Linked DNA regions of Oryctolagus cuniculus. The protein of the gene in region 1 interacts with the protein of each later gene in a biochemical or structural test. Links are inferred from orthologs where the notes say so. Each region holds a gene or a part of one and is shown in the gene's direction. Other genes may lie near its edges.

Evidence for each region.
Region 2: of the proteins of ATF2 (region 1) and MAPK13, one has a biochemical effect on the other in vitro, tested with the Homo sapiens proteins (2 studies listed by BioGRID and IntAct). The link is inferred for Oryctolagus cuniculus from reciprocal best matches to the Homo sapiens genes ATF2 and MAPK13.
Region 3: of the proteins of ATF2 (region 1) and MAPK11, one has a biochemical effect on the other in vitro, tested with the Homo sapiens proteins (4 studies listed by BioGRID and IntAct). The link is inferred for Oryctolagus cuniculus from reciprocal best matches to the Homo sapiens genes ATF2 and MAPK11.

What each region holds. Positions count from the first base shown.
Region 1 is NC_091434.1:66,025,762-66,031,789, forward strand, and holds part of ATF2 (cyclic AMP-dependent transcription factor ATF-2), read left to right. Parts: intron 1-349; coding exon 350-446; intron 447-3,313; coding exon 3,314-3,432; intron 3,433-3,564; coding exon 3,565-3,693; intron 3,694-6,028. UniProt on the Homo sapiens protein: Transcriptional activator which regulates the transcription of various genes, including those involved in anti-apoptosis, cell growth, and DNA damage response.
Region 2 is NC_091436.1:133,372,917-133,379,433, reverse strand, and holds the start of MAPK13 (mitogen-activated protein kinase 13), read left to right. Parts: upstream 1-2,131; 5' UTR 2,132-2,230; coding exon 2,231-2,349; intron 2,350-2,923; coding exon 2,924-3,053; intron 3,054-3,908; coding exon 3,909-3,967; intron 3,968-6,517. UniProt on the Homo sapiens protein: Serine/threonine kinase which acts as an essential component of the MAP kinase signal transduction pathway.
Region 3 is NC_091442.1:123,216,732-123,223,420, reverse strand, and holds the start of MAPK11 (mitogen-activated protein kinase 11), read left to right. Parts: upstream 1-2,931; 5' UTR 2,932-2,998; coding exon 2,999-3,114; intron 3,115-4,653; coding exon 4,654-4,783; intron 4,784-5,061; coding exon 5,062-5,120; intron 5,121-5,204; coding exon 5,205-5,316; intron 5,317-5,842; coding exon 5,843-5,872; intron 5,873-5,954; coding exon 5,955-6,002; intron 6,003-6,077; coding exon 6,078-6,192; intron 6,193-6,540; coding exon 6,541-6,612; intron 6,613-6,689. Other genes in the region: PLXNB2 (plexin-B2), read left to right, coding at 6-81, 200-274, 350-454. UniProt on the Homo sapiens protein: Serine/threonine kinase which acts as an essential component of the MAP kinase signal transduction pathway.

The sequences.
Region 1 (6,028 bases):
CTTCACTTTTGAGATAATGTATATTTAATTTACATTACAATCAAGGGCTTAATGCTAGTGGTGTGTTTTTAGTATCCAAATTAAATTTACATAGTTTCTTTGCCTAAGATTTTATTTTTAAATCAGTTATGTGACCTAATCATATTGTGTATTCTTGGGTAATGGGTTTCTCTATGATTATTTGAAGTCTGGTATGTTTATACTAACAATAATAAATTCTTTTATAGTTTAAAAACTGCTATTTCACTGTTAATGGTGGTTTTACATGTTGTGGAAATGAATTTCCTTATCATTTTAATTATTTGATCAAATTGAAAATCTTAACTGTATCTTAAAATTTTTGCCACAGCGTTTTACCAACGAGGATCATTTGGCTGTCCATAAACATAAACATGAGATGACACTGAAATTTGGTCCAGCACGTAATGACAGTGTCATTGTGGCTGGTTAGTATATGCTTTTATTAATAGCTTATATACATATTTCACCTGGAATGTGCACAATTTTTGTGTATTCTCTGTAAATAATATAATCTGGTGATATTCCAATGACTTCATTTACAATAAATGTTGGCAACATGTATTTTACCCATTACATTTCCATGTTTCCTTCTGACCATTCATTTCACATTTTGTGTGATTTTCAAGTAGAGATTTCAATGTCAGTTTCATGGAAGTTAATTAGAACTCTGGGAACATCATTCATACCATTTACAAAATTTACGTTTTTCTTACAATTGAACTAATATATTTAGTCAACGTTTCTTTTAGCTGTCTTGGCACCTGATTTACAAGGCTGTGTGAAGACAGAAAAGGATGAAGCTCCTCCTGTTGGAGAGCAAGACCTAGCAAATTTCCGGATTAGAATTTTTTTTTTTTCCAAACAAAACATTTGTCTTAGTAAAATACTCGTAAGGGGTCCTGAATTCATTAGGTGCTTTTTTTCGTGTGTGTTGACCCTACATACATACAGTATTATGTAAGCAATTATTTTTCATATTATGTGAAAAGAGAAACCCAATTCATGCATTGATTTATTCATTTCATGCTATATTAGCTAGTTATTTCAGTATATATACACACACACATCTGTGTATATACAAAATATGAATAATTTTACTATATGTATTTTATAAGGATTATGATATAAAACATTTAATATAAATTTTAGACACTTTTCTATCACAGTCACATAAATTTGCATTTCAGATACTCAAATTAACTCTAGATTCTTCTTTCTTGCACACCTTAGGTTATACTATTTGTAAGTCTGGAATTATGTCCGAAAACTTAGTAATATTAGTACTTTTAAACAACTAGTATATACATCAAATTATCATATGCAATGTTTTGCATAGGTAACACAGCAAATATTGGTTGATTTTCCTGTACTTTCAGTATCAAAAGGTTGTAATGAAATGGGGAATAACAAAAAGTAGTCAATCTATCAGAGATAATTTATGTAGGAAAGATATAGGGAATTTCAGTAGGTCTTCAGTTCCATAAATGAAAGGAAGTGTAGAAGAATGAATAATGCATTTCTTTAGTCTTCTGTGCATCAGATAATAAGACCTAGAACAACAAAAAAAAAAAATAAAAACAAGCTGAAAAGTTCACTTTCCTAGGCATGAAGATCTTTGTTTCTGTGAAACTTAATGTCTTAAAGCAATCTCTCTAATATTTTAACTCAAAAAGTGTTTTGAAGTTGGTTTCTAGAAATTATTTTCCTGTTTGTATTTAATGGAATAGAAAAATACAACACGTTCAAACACAGCATTTGACCATTTTTTTACTGACATGTTGAACAGTTTATATTGCTTTGTAACACATGATGTGTGTGGTATATATCTGATGATCAGTAGCCATATGCAATCTGCATGTTACACAGTTGTGTCTATGTTGGCTTTACTTAAGTCTAACAGTCCCAGTAGTCATTAATGAAAGTGATCTATGCTTATGCATTTCAAGACTTTTCTCTCCCTGAGTTGTGAGCTTTCTAAAGAGCTTAGATAGGCAAACCTTTTGGGTATGAGAAGAGTTAAATTTATGTTTGACTTATTAATTCAGTCATGAGGGACTTAAGCTGATACATGTACATGAAGCCTTCAATGTAGCATGATTTTGGAGATAAGAGTAGGGTATAGGTTAAAGATTATACTGATAGGCAGTAATTTGATATGATTAATAGTGACCAAGATAGGCCTGCAGTATGTCTAATGTGTATGACAAATGGGTTATTTTGATGTTGAATATATTTATGTGTAGAAAAAATATTAATACACTTTGTGTATGTTAGGGGGAAAGGTAAAATAGTAATTACCATTGTGAAACACAATAGTTAATAAATATTTGAATTTAATTTCATAAAAGAGCTCTTAATAGATTACTTTTATTTAGCTTAGGTGAAATCCTTAAAATAACTTATAAAATTCATGCCCTAAAGTAGATAAAATACTAACAAAGTTTGAATATGCTACCAATTATAATCAACATAAATAAACAGCATTGGGGACAATACAACTAAATGAGCAAAATTTACTATCTTTCATTCAACCTAGACTTTAACTGACATTTGTTCTGTAGATATATATATATATATATATGTAAACAACATAAGCTGCAAATTTAAGTATAGCTAAAATATTTGAAGTTGTAAAAAAAGTAGTTATTTTATTTGCCTAGAAATTAAGCTAGAACGTTAAGACCAAGCTTATAAAATATGCTAAAGTTGAACAATCAGCTTTAGTAGATAGTAATAAGGAGTTTGTTTTGTTTTCAGGACTTTTCACTTTCTTTTTCTTCTTTGTGGTATTTTAATCTACCTACTAAAGATACTGTTTTAATTTAAGCTTGCTTTCAAAATACATTATGAACAGCTAGTGGAAGTGCCAAGTTAAAATAAATATACATGCTCTTATCCTAGTTTTACCCAAAATGCATGTATTGAGATTATAATAATTTTTAGTAATGTAAGTTTTTTTTAAAAGTTCTTATCACTGTGTTAGATAATGATAATAGTTTATCTCTTGCGTAGAAGATGTTCATGCCACTCAAGGGAGAGTGAAGGGGTGGACAAAGGAGCAAAAGACTTCTTTCATCCTTTATGGTTCCCAAAGTTGGAGGAAATACCTGGAAGTGCAACAGAAACTTAACCAGATTTTGTTTGCTTTAAAGGAAGAGGTCTTTCCAAAGAGAGAATTAACAACTGTGACTGAACCAGTCCTTCTAATTTGTTAACTTATTGCTATATTTTAGAATCTTAATATGGTATACAATATTTAAGTCTGTGTGATTACTTCTTGACTTTATTTCAGATCAGACCCCAACTCCAACAAGATTCTTGAAAAACTGTGAAGAAGTGGGTTTGTTTAATGAGTTGGCAAGTCCATTTGAGAATGAATTCAAGAAAGCTTCAGAAGACGACATTAAAAAAGTACGTTGTTAATCGTAAAATTAAGAGAAGAGTACTTTTGATAGAAAAAATATTGCTAGCTTATACTTCATACTTTCTAATGGCCTACATTTGAACTTGTGACATTTTCTTTATTTATTGTTTACATTTTAGATGCCTCTAGATTTATCCCCTCTTGCAACACCCATCATAAGAAGTAAAATTGAGGAGCCTTCTGTTGTAGAAACAACTCACCAGGATAGTCCTTTACCTCACCCAGAGTCTACTACCAGTGATGAAAAGGTTAGAATGTTATATTTGTGATAGCATATAAGCTAAGGAGGAAAAAGTTGGTACCCCAAGTAAAGTTTAATTTTTAATGTGTAAAAGCCTCTGACTAGCCAAATATTTCAGGGAAAGAAGATTCCTTCTTTATTCAGGGCTGGGGAGCATTTTTTTCTGCCAAGGTCCATTTGGCTATTATAACATCATTTGTGGGCCATATAAAATTATCAACTTAAAAATCAGCCTGCTGTAGATTTATTGAATTTTGAGTACCACCTGTGGTTGCCTTGGCAGGGCCAGACCAAATGATTTCACAGGTCTTGTATGGCCCACAGACTGTATGTTTCCCACCCCATTAATACATAATCAACTTAAACACAGAGAAATTATAGGGGAGAATAAGAGTCATTTTAGATAAAACTTACTTTAAGAGGGAAATGTAAATTTACCATTTAATGTGGTTTTTCTGTATTTTGTTGGTTAGTTACCTTTAGATGAGGGCACTTCAGTAAGTTTATGGAAAAAAGTTTATTTTGGTGAAAAAGAACTTTCAAATCCATGCATAGTTTTTTCATAGCATACATTTTCATGAATTTTTTTCTGGTATCCATGGTATCCCAAGAATTTCAGATCAGCAGCTTAATTAAGAAATCTGTACAACTAGTAACTTGTATGAGCAATGATTATTTAGGCTTTCAAAGGATAAAGAACTAGTTATTCTCAGCAGTGGATCTTGGTTAGCAGCAACCATGATGATGATAGCATCTGGAATACCCTGGTAATAACTTGGACCCCCCTGGCCTATGCTTGTGCTACTACTTGATTACTTGTTTGTTCATAAGCACATAGAATGAACACTTACTTATTTGGGAGCACCATGTGGTGCACAGAGGAAGAGATGATGTGACATAAAAAAGAGAATGGCAATATTCTCTTTTACATTATGTTATTCGAAAACTGTAATTTATTGGACCTTACCTACTATATCAGAAGTTACCAATTAGGAAATATAGTCATATGTCAGAGAACAAAATGGACATGTTTTGAGAAATGCATCAGTTGGTAACTTTGTTAGTGTGTGAATATCACAGAGTATACCTGCAGAAGCCTACACGTATAGGCTATGTGGTGGTTTAGCCTACACATATAAGGTATGTAGTACAGCCTGTTGCTTCTAGGATAAAACCCAGATGTATTATAACTAATAGTATAGGCGGTTGTAACACAATGGCAAGTTTTTGTGTATCTAAACATGGAAATGGTACAGTAAAATATGATATAAAAGATTTTTGAAGTGGTACACCTGTTTAGGACACTTACTGTGAGTGGAGTTTGTGGGACTGGAAGTTGCCCTGGTGAGTCAGTGAGTGGTGAGTGAATGTGAAAGCATAGGACATTGCTGTACACTACTGTGTATACTTATGCTACACTAAACTTACAGTTTAAAATCATTTTTGGGGGCCAGCATTGTGGCATAGCAGGTAAAGCTGCTGCCTACAACGCTGGCATCACAAATGGGCACTAGTTCGAGCAGCACTAGGGCTGCTCCACTTCTGATCCAGCTCCCTGCTAATGCACCTGGTAAAACAACAGAACATACCCTAAGACTTGGGCCCCTGCCACCCACGTGGGAGACCAGATACAGCTCCTGTATCCTGGCTTTGGTCTGGCCCCTCCCTGGCCATTGTGGCCAAATTGGTACATGAACCCTGGGGATGGAAGATCTATCTCTCCCCATCTCTTTTCCTTTCTCTGTAACTCTACCTTTCAAATAAAATGAAATTTTTTTTTTCTTTAGTAAATGAACCTTGGCCTACTGTAGTTTTCTACTTTATGAACTTCTTGATTTTTTTTAACTTTTTTACTCTTTTCTAATAACAGCATGAAATACACAGTATATAATTAAATATTTTTATATCCTTATTCTATAAGCTTTATTTTATTATTGTTGTTGTCATGATTACTTTACTTGCTCAACTTTTTTGTTAGAACACACATACATTAGCCTAGGCCTCCACTATATCAGAATCATTAATATCACTCTCTTCCACCTCCACATCTTATCCCTTTAGGCACAGTAACAGAGTTGTCATCTCCTATGATGATAACAGTGTCTTCTGTCTGAAGTAACTTTTCATCTAGGAACAAATGCTTTGATCTTAGTTTTTTTTTTTTTTTCCAGTTCTTTTCATTTTCCTTTTCTGATTTTGAAATTATATCCTCATAAAAACTTGAGGAATGCAGAAAAATGAGCTGGCAGGTTTTGTGACATATCAGGTTAAGCCAGCACTTGGGACTACATTACATATTGGAGAACCTGTTTTGAGTACCAGCTATTCTGCTTCCAAACCAT
Region 2 (6,517 bases), on another chromosome or scaffold:
GACCATAAAGAGAAGAGAGCCCTGGGTGCTGGGGGTTCCGGGAGTGCTGGGCCCCCGGGGGTGTCTTCAGTGACTCCCTCCTCCTCCCGCATCCTTGCCCCCACCCCCACCCCATATCCAACAAGCCCTCCCCTCCAGAGCTGCCTGGCTGGGCCCCAGCGGGGCTCGGTGTCAGCAGAGTCTGAGGCCTGAGTCACTTCCTGGCCCTTGCTCAAGAGGTGTCGGGGCCACTGCTGCAGCGGCTGGCCCATGGCCTGGTAGGATTGCACCTACTTAAGCAATGAGCAGCCTCCCTGGCGCTCCTCACCTGCCGGGGCGCCCCTCTGCTTCCTTAGGTGTCAGAGATACCAGCAGGTGTCCAGCCCCCTTCCTTGCTGAATCCTCAACCCAGAAGGGAACCCACAAAGAGTCTTATCAGTGCCCACCCCTTACACCTGCCTTGTGGGACCCCACCCCAGCTTCAGAATCAGTGTGCCTTCCACCCGTGTCACCAAGCCCAAAGGTCCCAAACACCCCTGGCTCCTTCCCAGGCATGCCAGCTTTTCCCTTCTCACGGGGTCTCAGGCTGGATATGTCAAATTCCTCAGGGCAGGCTGAGCCAAGGGAGAACTAGTTCCATCCACAGACACAAGAGGGGATTTGCAACATAGGCCACTGTTTTCAAGGAGCCGCGTGCCTCTCACTGTGGAGACACAAAATAGCACCAGGCTGCACCGGTGTCTCCGCCCAGCTCTGCTCCTTAGCAGCTGAGTGCCCGTGGGCTGCTCCATTAACCTGGCGGTAGGACTGGCTCCTCCTGGCTAAGATGAAGATAATCTTGGCACTGGCTCACAGGCCTCTTGCGGTGATTAAGTGAGTTGTGTATGTGAAACACTTAGTGTGATGACTGGCACATGGCAAACACAAATGTTTATTAAAGAAATATGTTGTTGCTTCCAATGGGCTGACTCTTCTGTTTATTCTCTATACACTTAGGATGTCCTACTATGTGTCAGACACAAATAAGACAGATTCCCTGCCCACAACACCAGCTGGGCACGTCAGTGGGACCCTGGCACTCCCCCTGCCTGGAAAGGGTGCTTCAGGTTGAGGCTGATGCTGCAGGACTAGGCAGGGCTGTGACAAGGGTCTGGGGTCTGCAGGCTCCCTTGTGCGGACCCCCTGTTTGCTGAAGGCCAGCAACCGGTTCCTTTCCTCCTTGAAGACAGCTCCTCTCCCTTGACAGATGCAGCAATGGTCCCCTGCCACAGCCCCATGCCTCGCCAGACCGGGACCGGACACATGTGCTGGGCACACAGAGGGCTCCTGCCCATTTCCCAGCCACCCCCCCCCCCCCGCCCCGGGGCCTCCTAGGCCTCCTCAGGCCGCAGCAGCCACCAAAGACAGGAGGCAGATGGTCCCTGTTTGTCATTGTCCTCGAAGGGCACAAACTGGACGTTTTAGTTCAAGAGTGGGCGTTTGAACATGCGTGGCTATTTGGGCATTATAGAATTAGTGTGATTAATTCTTAAGTGTAAAAATGGTGCTATGCTTATTTTTTTTTAAAAAACAATCTGTATCTCTAAAGCGTAACAATATTTGTGGATGAAATATGATGCCCAGGCGTTGCATCAAAATAATGGCGAAACACAAATGCAGGGGCCTAAAGTTGACCATCCGTTGCTACAACGGACATCCCCAGAGGTGACTCGGACCTCACAGCTGGACAGACACGCAGCCCTGGCTCTGACCCAGATCTACTGAATCGGAACCGGTTTCAATAAAGTAAAATCCCAGGGGACGGGATTCGTGTGCACGTCCACGTGTGAGGCGCACGGGGCTACGCCGGCTACTTCCGTATGGGAAAACTTCGGAGACAAAAAGATTGCGGAGTTTTCTTTTCCGGAATGGGTTTCAAAACGCCGGGGGGCTCTTCCGGAGCCGGGAGTCCTGCCTTCCCCGTACCCCGGCACTCGGCTGGGAGCCGCCCACTCCCGCCCCGCAGCCCGGACGGCGTCCCGGGACCCGCACCTGCCGCGGGTGGCTCGGGGCGGCCTCTCCGGGGCCGGCCGGCAAATGGGGGTGCGGCGCTGTCGGGCAGGCCCGGGCGTGGCGGCGCCCAGCGCACCTGAGCCAGCAGGTGGGACGCGTCGCTGCCGAACGCCCGCCCTCGTGCGGGGGAGGGCGGGCGCAGTCCGGACCGCGGGCGCAGCCGCCGTGCCGGGGCCGCAGCCGCGACTGGGTGCCCGGGATGAGCCTCACCCGGAGAAGGGGCTTCTACAAGCAGGACGTCAACAAGACCGCCTGGGAGCTGCCCAAGACCTACGTGTCCCCGACGCACGTCGGCAGCGGGGCCTACGGCGCCGTGTGGTGAGACCCCTGGGCCGCGCGGCCACTGGGGGGCGCGGGGACGCCAGGCGTCGGGGCGCCGCCTCGGCCGAGCTGGCGGCGCGGGGAGCCGGTGGAGCAGGGCGCCGAGGGAGGGCGCGAGAGCAGCCCCGGGTGGCGGCGCTGGCTCGGAGCCACGGACCGCCTTTCTCTGCCGGGAGGGCCGTGTGGGGGTCTCAGCGGGGCGAATCAGGACTGAGTGGGCTCCCCAGAGCTCCTGGGCAGGTCCCCTTTGCCACGGATGAGTGCGCGGAGGCCCAGGAAGGGGAAGGGATTTTCCGGGTTGCAGTGGGAGGCTCCGCGTCCCGTCGGCGGCGAAAGGAGCCAGCCCTCGGAGCCGTGGCCCCCGCTCGGCTCCAGCCTCCTCCCCGCACTCCTGGCCCTCCGCCCTTCCACGTCGCAGGCAGTGGGCAGCGTCCCTCCCAGCCTGGCCTCCAAGGAGCCGAGTAGGGTTGGGGGTGCAGGTGGCCCAGGAGCGCGCGCGTGCGGGGACCAGGGGTGGGCGCCGTCCAGGCAGGAAGGCTGCCGCCCGCTGACCTGCCTTGTGCCCCCGCAGCTCCGCCATCGACAAGCGGTCTGGGGAGAAGGTGGCCATCAAGAAGCTTAGCCGGCCCTTCCAGTCGGAGATCTTCGCCAGGCGGGCCTACCGCGAGCTGCTGCTGCTCAAACACATGCAGCATGAGAACGTAGGGCGCGCGGGGGGGCGCAGCCGAAGACCCCTCCCTGCCCCACCGGGCCCGCTTCCCGCCCCGCTATTAAGGTTCCCCGATACCACGTCGTGCCCTGCGCACTGACCAGGAAGGGCCACAGGGTCTTTCTGGAGATAAGTACTGTTGCCACCTTGTCGCAGAGGGGGAAACTGAGTCACAGAGGTTTCCCGGGTTAATTGGTCAGTCAGTGGCAGAGCTGGGGTTTCAGCGGAGCTGCCCAGCCCTGCTTGGCAGAAACGGCAAGGCAAAGCCCAGGACCCAGCTCTGGGCCCAGCATCCACAGCCCCAGGGTGTCTAGATTAGAGGAGAACTATTTCAAATAATGATTTCAAACCGTTGTCACCACCAAAGTTCCCCCCTGCCTCCTTGTGCAGCAGACCCTTCCCCTGTGACCTCAGGCAGGGGGTGATCTTGTCACTGGCTCTGAATGAGCCTGTGGCAGGCCTGGGCAAATGTGGCTGGGGAACCCAAGGCCAAGGGCAGGGAGCCTGCAGGCTGGAGGCCCCTCCCCTCCGGCTAGAGCAGAGAGCGGGCTTGTGCTGCTCTCCCTGAACGCAGACTTGGGAGCGATGCACTGAGCAGGCCTCACTGCTCTGCCCACCTCCCTCCCTGCGCAGGGTACAAGCTCCCTCCCAAATGGGGTAGGGGGCCCACTCCTCTTTGACCTCCATCCCCTTACTGCTTCCAGCGAGGCTGGGGGGCCTGGCTCCTGCTGGGAGTGATATGTTAGGAAGGGCGGGTGGGGGGGCAGTCCTGTGTGTGGCCGGGACCCTTGGGCACTGGAGGACATGGCGGCGCCTGCCCAGGCCTCACTGATGGCTTCTTCCCCAGGTCATTGGGCTCCTGGATGTCTTTACCCCAGCCTCCTCCCTGCGCAGCTTCCATGACTTGTGAGTCCGCCGCACTGGCGTATGGGGCTGGTGTGGGGCCCCGGGCCCCTCGGGTGCAAGTTGAGGGAGGGTCCAGAGTCTGTCTTCTGGGTTGGGGACCTCCTGTCCTGCCAGTCCCTGTGTCCTTGGGCTTGCAGAGGTGGGCTTCTCTCTGGAGAGAGGCTTTCTACCAGGGATAGAGGCGGGGCGGGCAGCGAGAGCTGAGCCTGCTGGGATGGCGGTGGTGGCGGGAGCGGGGGCCTGTGTGCACAGCTGCTTCCTTTATTCCCCAGCTTTAACCTGAGGGAGGTAGCCTGCCAGTCCCTACAGGGTCACCTCGAGTCCGTTCCCCACTCCATGGGGACCCACGTGTGGGTCTGGACCTCAGGCCTCTTTCTAGCATGAAGCAAGGCTCAGGAGACCTTGGCTGCCTCTGGCTGCTGGGGTAATTGACAGCCACACAGACCCAGAACATTCGGTTCCCACGTGGTTGGCTCTGGGGTTGCAGTGCCTGAGTGCGTCCAAGCTGTTGGGACGGCGCTGAGAAGCGCAGCGTGGTGAGTGTAGGCCCTGTGGGTCACCAGACCCCACGGGCAGCCTCAAGTCCAGAGAGGTGCTGTGGTCAGGTCGGATTTGGGGGCTGCACTGTTGCAGCCGTGAGTAAGGAGTAGGGTGCAGTGCGGGGGAGGGGCCGAGTCTGGGGGACGGTGTCTGTGACCGAGACCCTTGTTTAAGCAGAAGGAATGGGGCTAACACTGATGCTCCCCTTCTGATCCAGCTCCCCGCTTCCGCGCCTGGGAAAGCAGCAGAAGGCGGCCAAAGCGCTTGGGTCCCTGCACCCATGTGGGAGACCCAGATGGAGTTCCTGGCTCCTGGCTTCAGCCTGGCTCAGCCCTGGCTGTTAGAACCCTTTGGGGAGTGAACCAGCAGATGGAAGATCTCTGTCTCTACCCGTGTCTCTCTGTAACTCCGCCTTCCAAATACATAAATAAACCTTAAAAAATAAGCCGAGGAGCTGGGGTGGTGGGGGCGGGCCTGGTAGAATGTTGTATCTGGTAGGACATGGGCTTGAGGGATGCACAGGTTCCAGCTTGGAATACAAAGTGGCAGAAGAACAGATCTGGGAAAGATGACGAATTCTCCTTTGGAATTTCACCTTTTTAAAAATGGTAAGATTTGTTTATTTATTTGAAAGGCAGAGTGACAGGCAGAGGCAGAGAGAGAGAGAGAGAGAGAGGTCTTCCATCTGCTGGTTCACTCCCCAAATGTTTGCAACAACTGGAGCTGGGCCAGGCCAAAGCCAGGACCTTGGAACTCCATCCTGGCCTCCACATGGTGGCAGGGACCCGAGTACCCGGGCCATCACCTGCTGCCTCTCGGGCACATTATTACGAAACTGGATCGGAAGTGGAGCAGTCAGGACCTGAACTGATGCTCTGATGTAGGATGTGATGTCCCAAGTGGCAGTTTAACCTGCTGTGCCACAATGCCTTCCCCGGATTTCTTTTCTTTTCTTTTCTTTTCTTTTCTTTTTTTTTAAGTTTATTTATTTATTTGAAAGAGTTACAGAGGCAGGGAGAGAGAGAGAGGTCTTCATCCACTGGTTCACTCCCCAAATGGCCACAACAGCTGGAGCTGGGCTGATCCAAAGCCAGGAGCCAGGAGCTTCTTCTAGGTCTCCCACATGGGTGCAGGGGCCCGAGGACTTGGGCCATCTTCTACTGCTTTCCCAGGCCATAGCAGAGAGCTGGATGGGAAGTGGAGCAGCGAGGACTTGAACCAGCGCCCATACAGAATGCCGGCCCTGCAGGTGGCGGCTTTACCTGCTATGCCACAGCTCCAGCACCCCAGATTTTACTTTTTTTTTTTTAAATATTATATTTGAAAGAGACAGAGGTCTTCCAGCCACTGGTTGACTCCTCAAATGCCTGCAACAGCCAGAGCAGGGCCAGACAGAAACCAGGAGCCCAGAACTCCATCAAGATTTCCCACGTGGGTGGGAAGGACCCAACCACTAGACCCATCACCTGCTGCGTTCCAGCAGGAAGCTGGAATAGAAGCAGAGGCAAGACTCAGGCCCGGGCACTCGGATCTGGGATGGAGGTGTCCCAGGCAGCATCTTAAATGCTGCACGAAACGCCTGGCCCCTGGAATTCCACTTTGACGCCTGTAAACATTCTGGTGCTTATGAGCAGCTGCAAGGATAAAAAGAAACCTGGACCTCTGGAGAGGGAGGTGTGCGTCCTGTAGGTCGATGGACTGGACGCTGGTTGAAGCCCAGGAAGAGGCTGACGGTGACAGGGTCATTCTGAGCCCAATGCCCCCATGAAAGCCTGCGGGAGAGGATGATGAGTGGGAGAGGATGATGGGACTGAGCCGAGGCTGAGGAAGCGTGAGAGACCAAAGGTCCCAGAGGGAGACAGGGAGGCACCGTGCCGGCCGGCGGTCACTGTTGGCCTGGAGCCGAGCGGGCTGGGGGGAGGACAGACACGGACGGCAGGCTGGCGAGAGACTGGGAGGGCAGGTGGCGGGTTCTGGGAGCACGGAGCCCCCTTCCTAGAAGCTTGGCGG
Region 3 (6,689 bases), on another chromosome or scaffold:
CACAGTTACTACAAGGGGATCCGGCAGATGGTGCAGGTCAGCGACCAGGACATGAACACACACCTGGCAGAGATCTCCCGGGTAAGGGGCTCCCGGGGACGTGCCTGCTGGCCTCGGCCCTCCCAGCAGGGCGGGGGGGGGAGGCGGGGAGAGGCACCTCTGAAGCCCGTGCTGTCCTCCCACCTCACCGTCACCCCAGGCCCACACGGACTCGCTGAACACCCTCGTGGCACTGCACCAGCTCTACCAGTACACGCACAAGTACTATGATGAGGTAGGGTCCCCGCTGCCGGGGGCAGGTGCTCGGGCAGCCCCTCCCTGGCCGTGGTCTGACAGGACCCTCCCTCAGATCATCAACGCCTTGGAGGAGGACCCCGCTGCCCAGAAGATGCAGCTGGCCTTCCGCCTGCAGCAGATTGCAGCCGCGCTCGAGAACAAGGTCACCGACCTCTGACCTCCCGCCTTCCGCCTGCCTCCTGGCGCAGGTATGTGAGGTCCAGAGCAGCCCTTGGGGCGGGCCGGATTGGCTGTGACTGAGTCCTCCTCTCCCCGCAGGGGGCGCCGCAGGCCCCGAGCAATATGGCACCGGAGCCTGTACTAGCCCCCGCCCACGGAGCCAGCCCGGGGTCTCTGTGTGAAGACTGAGTGTTTCGCAAACGTGCCTTACGCCGCGCCGGGCCCCTGGGGCAGTCGGGCCTCCGCCTCCCCTCGCACCAGCAGCCGCCTCAGATGCCCAGGGCCTGGCCTCTGGGTGGGATCCGAGTCCCTGCAGCCCCGGGGCGAGTGCCCAGACGTGTCTGCCCACTGTCCACGGACAGCAGGAGGAGACACGGAGGACAAGCGGTACGACGCCTTCCTGACCTCACCCTGCCTCCCCAGGGGGCACCCACGTTTGCCGGGCCCCACCTCAAAGGTCACGCTGGACGTCAGACGTCGGGGCCAGGCAGCCAGGAGGAGCCCAGCCGACCTGTCAGACAGGCTGCCCTGGAGGCCCCACCTGGGTCTGGGGGGCTGGGAGCAGCTCCACCAGGACCACCCATCCCTTTTTTGTAAATCTTGTTCATTGTAAATCAAATACAGCTGTCTTTTTCACTCTGCTGGCTGGTTGGGCTCCAGGGGCTGCTGGTCTGTCCCCACCCACCTGTTCCCCTTCCCTGGACACTGCTGGATCTGAGGTGGGCCCCTGTGTGGGCCAGGTGGGACCAGGCCAGCCTGGCTGGGTGCTGGAAAGAGACTGGCTCTAGCGCCCCCATCTGGCGCCCTCAGCGTCCCCCTCCCTTCCCCGGGCAGGCATGAGGCAGCAGCGAGCGAGAGAGATGCCTGGTAAGCCTCGCGCTGTGTGCCGGCCCCACTGGACAGAGGGCCAGAGTCTCAAGGCCTTGGGGCTGTGAGGTCAGCTTTGTCCCACGAGCTACCCAGGATGACTCGCCCAGGACCACCCTTTGCACCTCTGAGGGCGACGGACTCCTCTGCTCCTGCCTGGTGGGGGTCTGGGTGGGGGTAGGTAACCCCGAGGACCTGGGGCGGGGCCACAAGATGAAGACGTAGTTTGGGCCTGCAGCCAATGGGACGGAGGGGCCCTGCCCCCACGGAGCTTCCTGTGAACCCCAAGCAGGCTGAGCCCAGGAAGAAGCAGAGCGGCCTGGACACTCGCTGTCCCTGTGTGCGTTGTCTGAATGGTCTCCGGCCTGGTCTCGCCGCTGGGGCCTCCCCTTACGGCTGGGGAGCCCAGGAGCCGGGGTCAGGGGACTGTGAACCCCTCCTGGAAGGGGGTGACTCGGGCCCCTCCCCAACACTGGCTGTAGGGAAACAGGAACCTGGAGGCCTGGCTTCCAGGGGTCTGCTGCTGCTGTCCCCCGGGGCAGTCAGGAAAGAAGGGGCTCATCTGTGAGGACACCCCTACACACGCAAGGGACACTCAGGGGGAGGGGAAGGCTGTAGGTCCTGCCATCCACGCCCAGGTGGTCTCCACCCTCACCCCTCCCCTTAGGGATGGGAGTGACAGGACCCAGGAGCCTGGCTGGTGCCAGCGAGGGGTGAATGTTGGCTTGTCCAGGTGGCCAGAATGCCCTTCAGCCCCAGCGGTGACCAGCCCTTCCGGTCACTGTCCAATTTCCAGTGAGCAGGGGGAGGGAGAGGTGAGGATGGGAAGGAGCCACGAGCAATGCTGCTGACCTGTCCATGTCCAGAGAATGGAGCCAAGACTGCATCCTGCTTGTTCCAGACCCTCACCAGCGATTCGTGTGGCGGTGGGGAAGCATCCACTGAGTCCCCCTCCCCGCCCGGGTCTCCGAACCCCTTAGGGGCCCCAGCAGGACAGGCCCTGGACCCCGGCCAGGGTCCCAAGACCCATGAAGTCTGCATGAAGCTGCGGGTCCAGGGAGCTCGCTCCGCGTTTCACGCTGGTCCCAAGCACCCCAGCTTCACCGGCGCGCGCCGCTGGGTTCGTCTTGAAAAAGAGGGGGCGACTGGAGCCCAAGTTCCTCCCATCCCGGGAGGGGGCGTCCCGCCCAAAGCCCCCGACCCAGCGTCTGTCCGTGCCTGCGGCGACTGCCCGCGAGGCCGGGGCTTAACGGGAGGACGCCGGCCACGGGACCGCCGCGCAGGGCGGTAGGGGCGGCTCCCAGGGTCTGGGGAAGTTCGGGTGGGCTTCCCGAAGAGGCAAAAAGTACGAGGGACCCGAGGGGACTCATCTGGGGCCGCTTCTTCCCGAGCCCTGGCCCCAGAGGCCCCCCGGGTCGCCGCTGTCCCTGGTGCTGACCGGCCGCGCCCGCGGGAGACCCCAGCAGGTGGTCCGGCGCCACAAAGGCCCGGCCCTCAACCCCCTTCCGTCCCGAGAGGAAGCGCTTCCCGAGCTCCGGGCCCGGATCCCGCCGCCGCCCCGGTTTCCGCTCGGCTCCGGGCGCCCCCGCCCCAGCCAGGAGCCCCGCGCGCGCCCCGCCCAGCGCCCCGCCCCGCGCCCCGCCGCCCTCAGCTGCGCGCGGCTCCGGCTCCGGACATGTCGGGGCCCCGCGCCGGCTTCTACCGGCAGGAGCTGAACAAGACGGTGTGGGAGGTGCCGCAGAGGCTGCAGGGGCTGCGCCCGGTGGGCTCCGGCGCCTACGGCTCGGTCTGGTAGGGGCGGGGCGCGGGGCGCGCTCGGGGCTGCGGGCGTGGGGAGGGGCCTCGGCCTGCCCCCGCCCCCGGGCCCTGCGCGGGCCGCGGCGATGCGTCGGGGTGAGGGCGTGCGAGAAGCGTGCCCGCCGCACGCCGCCCCCAGCGGGGCGGGGGTCGTCTTCCTGCCGCGCCCAGTCCCGGGATGGCGCGGCCGGCGGAGGCCGGGCGCCCCGGGGCCCTCGGCGTCTGCGCTCCCCTCGCAGTTCCTGGGTTAGGGGTCGCGCGGCTCAGGGTCCGGCGGATACCCCGCCCCCGCCCCGCGCCATTGTTTGAAAACGGAGGCTCGCAGCGTGGCCTCGGAGCCCCTTGCGGGTCCTGCCCACTCCTCGTTTTCCCAGGAGTCTCGGACTCCATCCTGAGCGGGGGACCTGACGCCCGATCCCCAGAGCGCAGGTTCCAGAGCCTGAACCCAAACAGACCACGGCGGCTTGTGGGGGGCGGGGGTGCCGATTGGGCCGCGGCCTTCGCTCCAGGACAGGAAAGCCGGACAGGGCGGTGACAGACCAGCGTTGTGTAGACAGGCTGCTCACAGGTGTGGACGCTGCCAGGTGCCCCCATGGCACCCGACGAGGTCGTCACTGGCCGCTGCTGGGTCCCAGTGGGGCCGGAGAGGCTGGGGACTGGTGGGCGGGCGTGGCTGCCCGCACCTGGGCGGATCTTTGCCTGTCCCCGCAGCCTGAGGCGGTCACCTCGGCCACTCCAGCACCGGGGCACCGTCTTCCGGCGTGTGTGAGTGACCAGAGGATATTGTGGCAGGAACCCAGGTGGACTCATGGCTGGGTCTGCACATCTGGGAGTTCCGGGGGTGTCAAGTCCCCACAGGGGGACCTGGGCTTTTCTGGGCTGCACCCCAACCCTCCATGTTTGCTGAGTTCCACTGCCAAGGAGGTGACTGCGCGGGTGCCCATTCCCTGTTGCTCAGCTAACCACACAGATGCAGTTGGGCCAAAGGATCTGCCACCTCCTCTCCAGCAGTGACTTGGATTTGCCCCTGTGGGTCACAACCTGGTGATGGGGGCACTGGGGGCCTGGTGAATTTTTCTCTGCCACTGGCACCCATGAGCGTCCCACACCGGGGGCAGTCAAGTCTGGGCTCACTGCGGGGCGGGTTCTGAGGGGAAGGGAAGGGGTGCGTGGGCGGGCGCATTGGCCAGAGAGCCGGCTGTGCAAAGGGCTCCAGACCTGCTCCCAGCTGAGCCCTGATCGTGACCGAGACTGCTGCACCTGCCGCCAGGCGAGGGGCTGCTGCCGAGGGGAGGGGCGTGGGGCTGGGCAAGGCCGGCCTCGCTGGGCATTCCCAGTGTCCACTTCCGGTTGCCAGTGATGCAGCACACACTTCTGGACCTGCCCAGTCCCGGGGTAGGGGGCACCCTCTGCCCTGGGAGTACCCAGGCCTCTCCCCGAGCCGGGGCCCAGCCTCAGGGGCTCCTCTGGATCTCGGGCGAGGAGGGGTTGGGCGCGGAGCTGGGGAGGCTGCCTCACTCGCCCGCCTTCCAGCTCAGCCTACGACGCCCGGCTGCGGCAGAAGGTGGCGGTGAAGAAGCTCTCGCGGCCCTTCCAGTCGCTGATCCACGCCCGCAGGACGTACCGGGAGCTGCGGCTGCTCAAGCACCTCAAGCATGAGAACGTGAGCGGGTGCTGGCCGGCGGGAGGGAGGGCCGGCGGGAGGGAGGGTGGGGGGAAGGACCGGTGGGAGGGAGGGTGGGGGGGAGGGCGGGGGGGGTGGGGAGGGCCGGCGGGGGGGGGAGGGCGGGGGGGGTGGGGAAGCCCGGTGGGGGGGAGGGCCGGCGGGAGGAGGGCCCCGGGCCCTGGGCCAATGGGAGGGAGGGCTGGCAGGAGGAGGGCTCTGGCCTGGGGCCGAGCCCTGCCCACCGCATGCTGCCCAGCTGCTTTCCTGCCTCCCAGGTCATCGGGCTTCTGGACGTCTTCACGCCAGCCACGTCCATCGAGGACTTCAGTGAAGTGTGAGTGCCTGGCGGCTAGAGGAGCACCTTCGGCCCACGGCAGTGGGGCTCCGGCCTGACCCCTGACCCCCTACCTTGCCCCAGGTACTTGGTGACCACCCTGATGGGCGCAGACCTGAACAACATCGTCAAGTGCCAGGCGCTGAGTGACGAACACGTCCAGTTCCTGGTATACCAGCTGCTGCGTGGGCTGAAGGTGGGGGTCTCTGGGCGTGGGCTAGAGGTGGGGTCTTAGGGCCTGGGCTGGAGGTGGGGTCTTAGGGCCTGGGCTGGAGGTGGTGGTCTTAGGGCCTGGGCTGCAGGCGGGGTCTTAGGGCCTGGGCTGGAGGTGGGGTCTTAGGGCCTGGACTGGAGGTGGGGGTCTTAGGGCCTGGGCTGGAGGTGGTGGTCTTAGGGCCTGGGCTGCAGGCGGGGTCTTAGGGCCTGGGCTGGAGGTGGGGTCTTAGGGCCTGGACTGGAGGTGGGGGTCTTAGGGCCTGGGCTGCAGGCGGGGTCTTAGGGCCTGGGCTGGAGGTGGGGGTCTTAGGGCCTGGGCTGCAGGCAGGGTCTTAGGGCCTGGACTGGAGGTGGGGGTCTTAGGGCCTGGGCTGTAGGCGGGGTCTTAGGGCCTGGACTGGAGGTGGGGGTCTTAGGGCCTGGGCTGCAGGCGGGGTCTTAGGGCCTGGGCTGGAGGTGGGGGTCCCTGGGCACATGGCCAATGCTCACCACCTCCCTCCCCGCAGTACATCCACTCTGCAGGGATCATCCACCGGGTAGGTGCAGCGTGGGCGACGGGCGGCGGGTGGGCTCAGGCGGGCGCTATCCCTGCGCTCAGGCCTCTGCCCGCCCACGCAGGACCTGAAACCCAGCAACGTGGCGGTGAATGAAGACTGCGAGCTCAGGGTGAGCGACTGGCGGGACTGGGCCGGGTGGGCTGTGGGGCGAGGAGGGGCCCTGAGCACCTCTCGGTCCCCCCAGATCCTAGACTTCGGACTGGCCCGCCAGGCTGACGAGGAGATGACCGGCTACGTGGCCACACGCTGGTACCGAGCCCCAGAGATCATGCTGAACTGGATGCACTACAACCAGACAGGTGCCGTCAGCCCTCACGCGGCCAGGCCGGCTGACCGGGCTCGCACCGGGGCCCCACCCGGGGCACGGGGATGGGAGTCGGCCCATGGCTGAGGGGCCTTGGGGGAGCCTTGCCCAGTCTTGGGGGACAGGCAGGGTCTGGGACCAGCATTCAAAAACAGACTTTCCAAGGGTCCCCGGGGCAGGTGTGTGCTGGGGTCTGAGCCACTTGCTCTCCCCACCCAACGTGGGTGTACAGAAGGAAGGGTTCGGCCTGGGTGTGACTGAGGGTCCGCTGGGCCGGCTCCTCCCCAGCCTCCAGAGGAGGGGCTGGGGTGGGCAGGCTGATAGCCTGCCCCTCCCCCAACAGTGGATATCTGGTCCGTGGGCTGTATCATGGCCGAGCTGCTGCAGGGGAAGGCTCTCTTCCCGGGAAGTGACTGTATCCTTGCCCGTGCGGCCTGCAGCGTCACGCTGCGGGGACCCCTCCTCCAGGGTGGGGGTGGGCTCTGGCTCTCC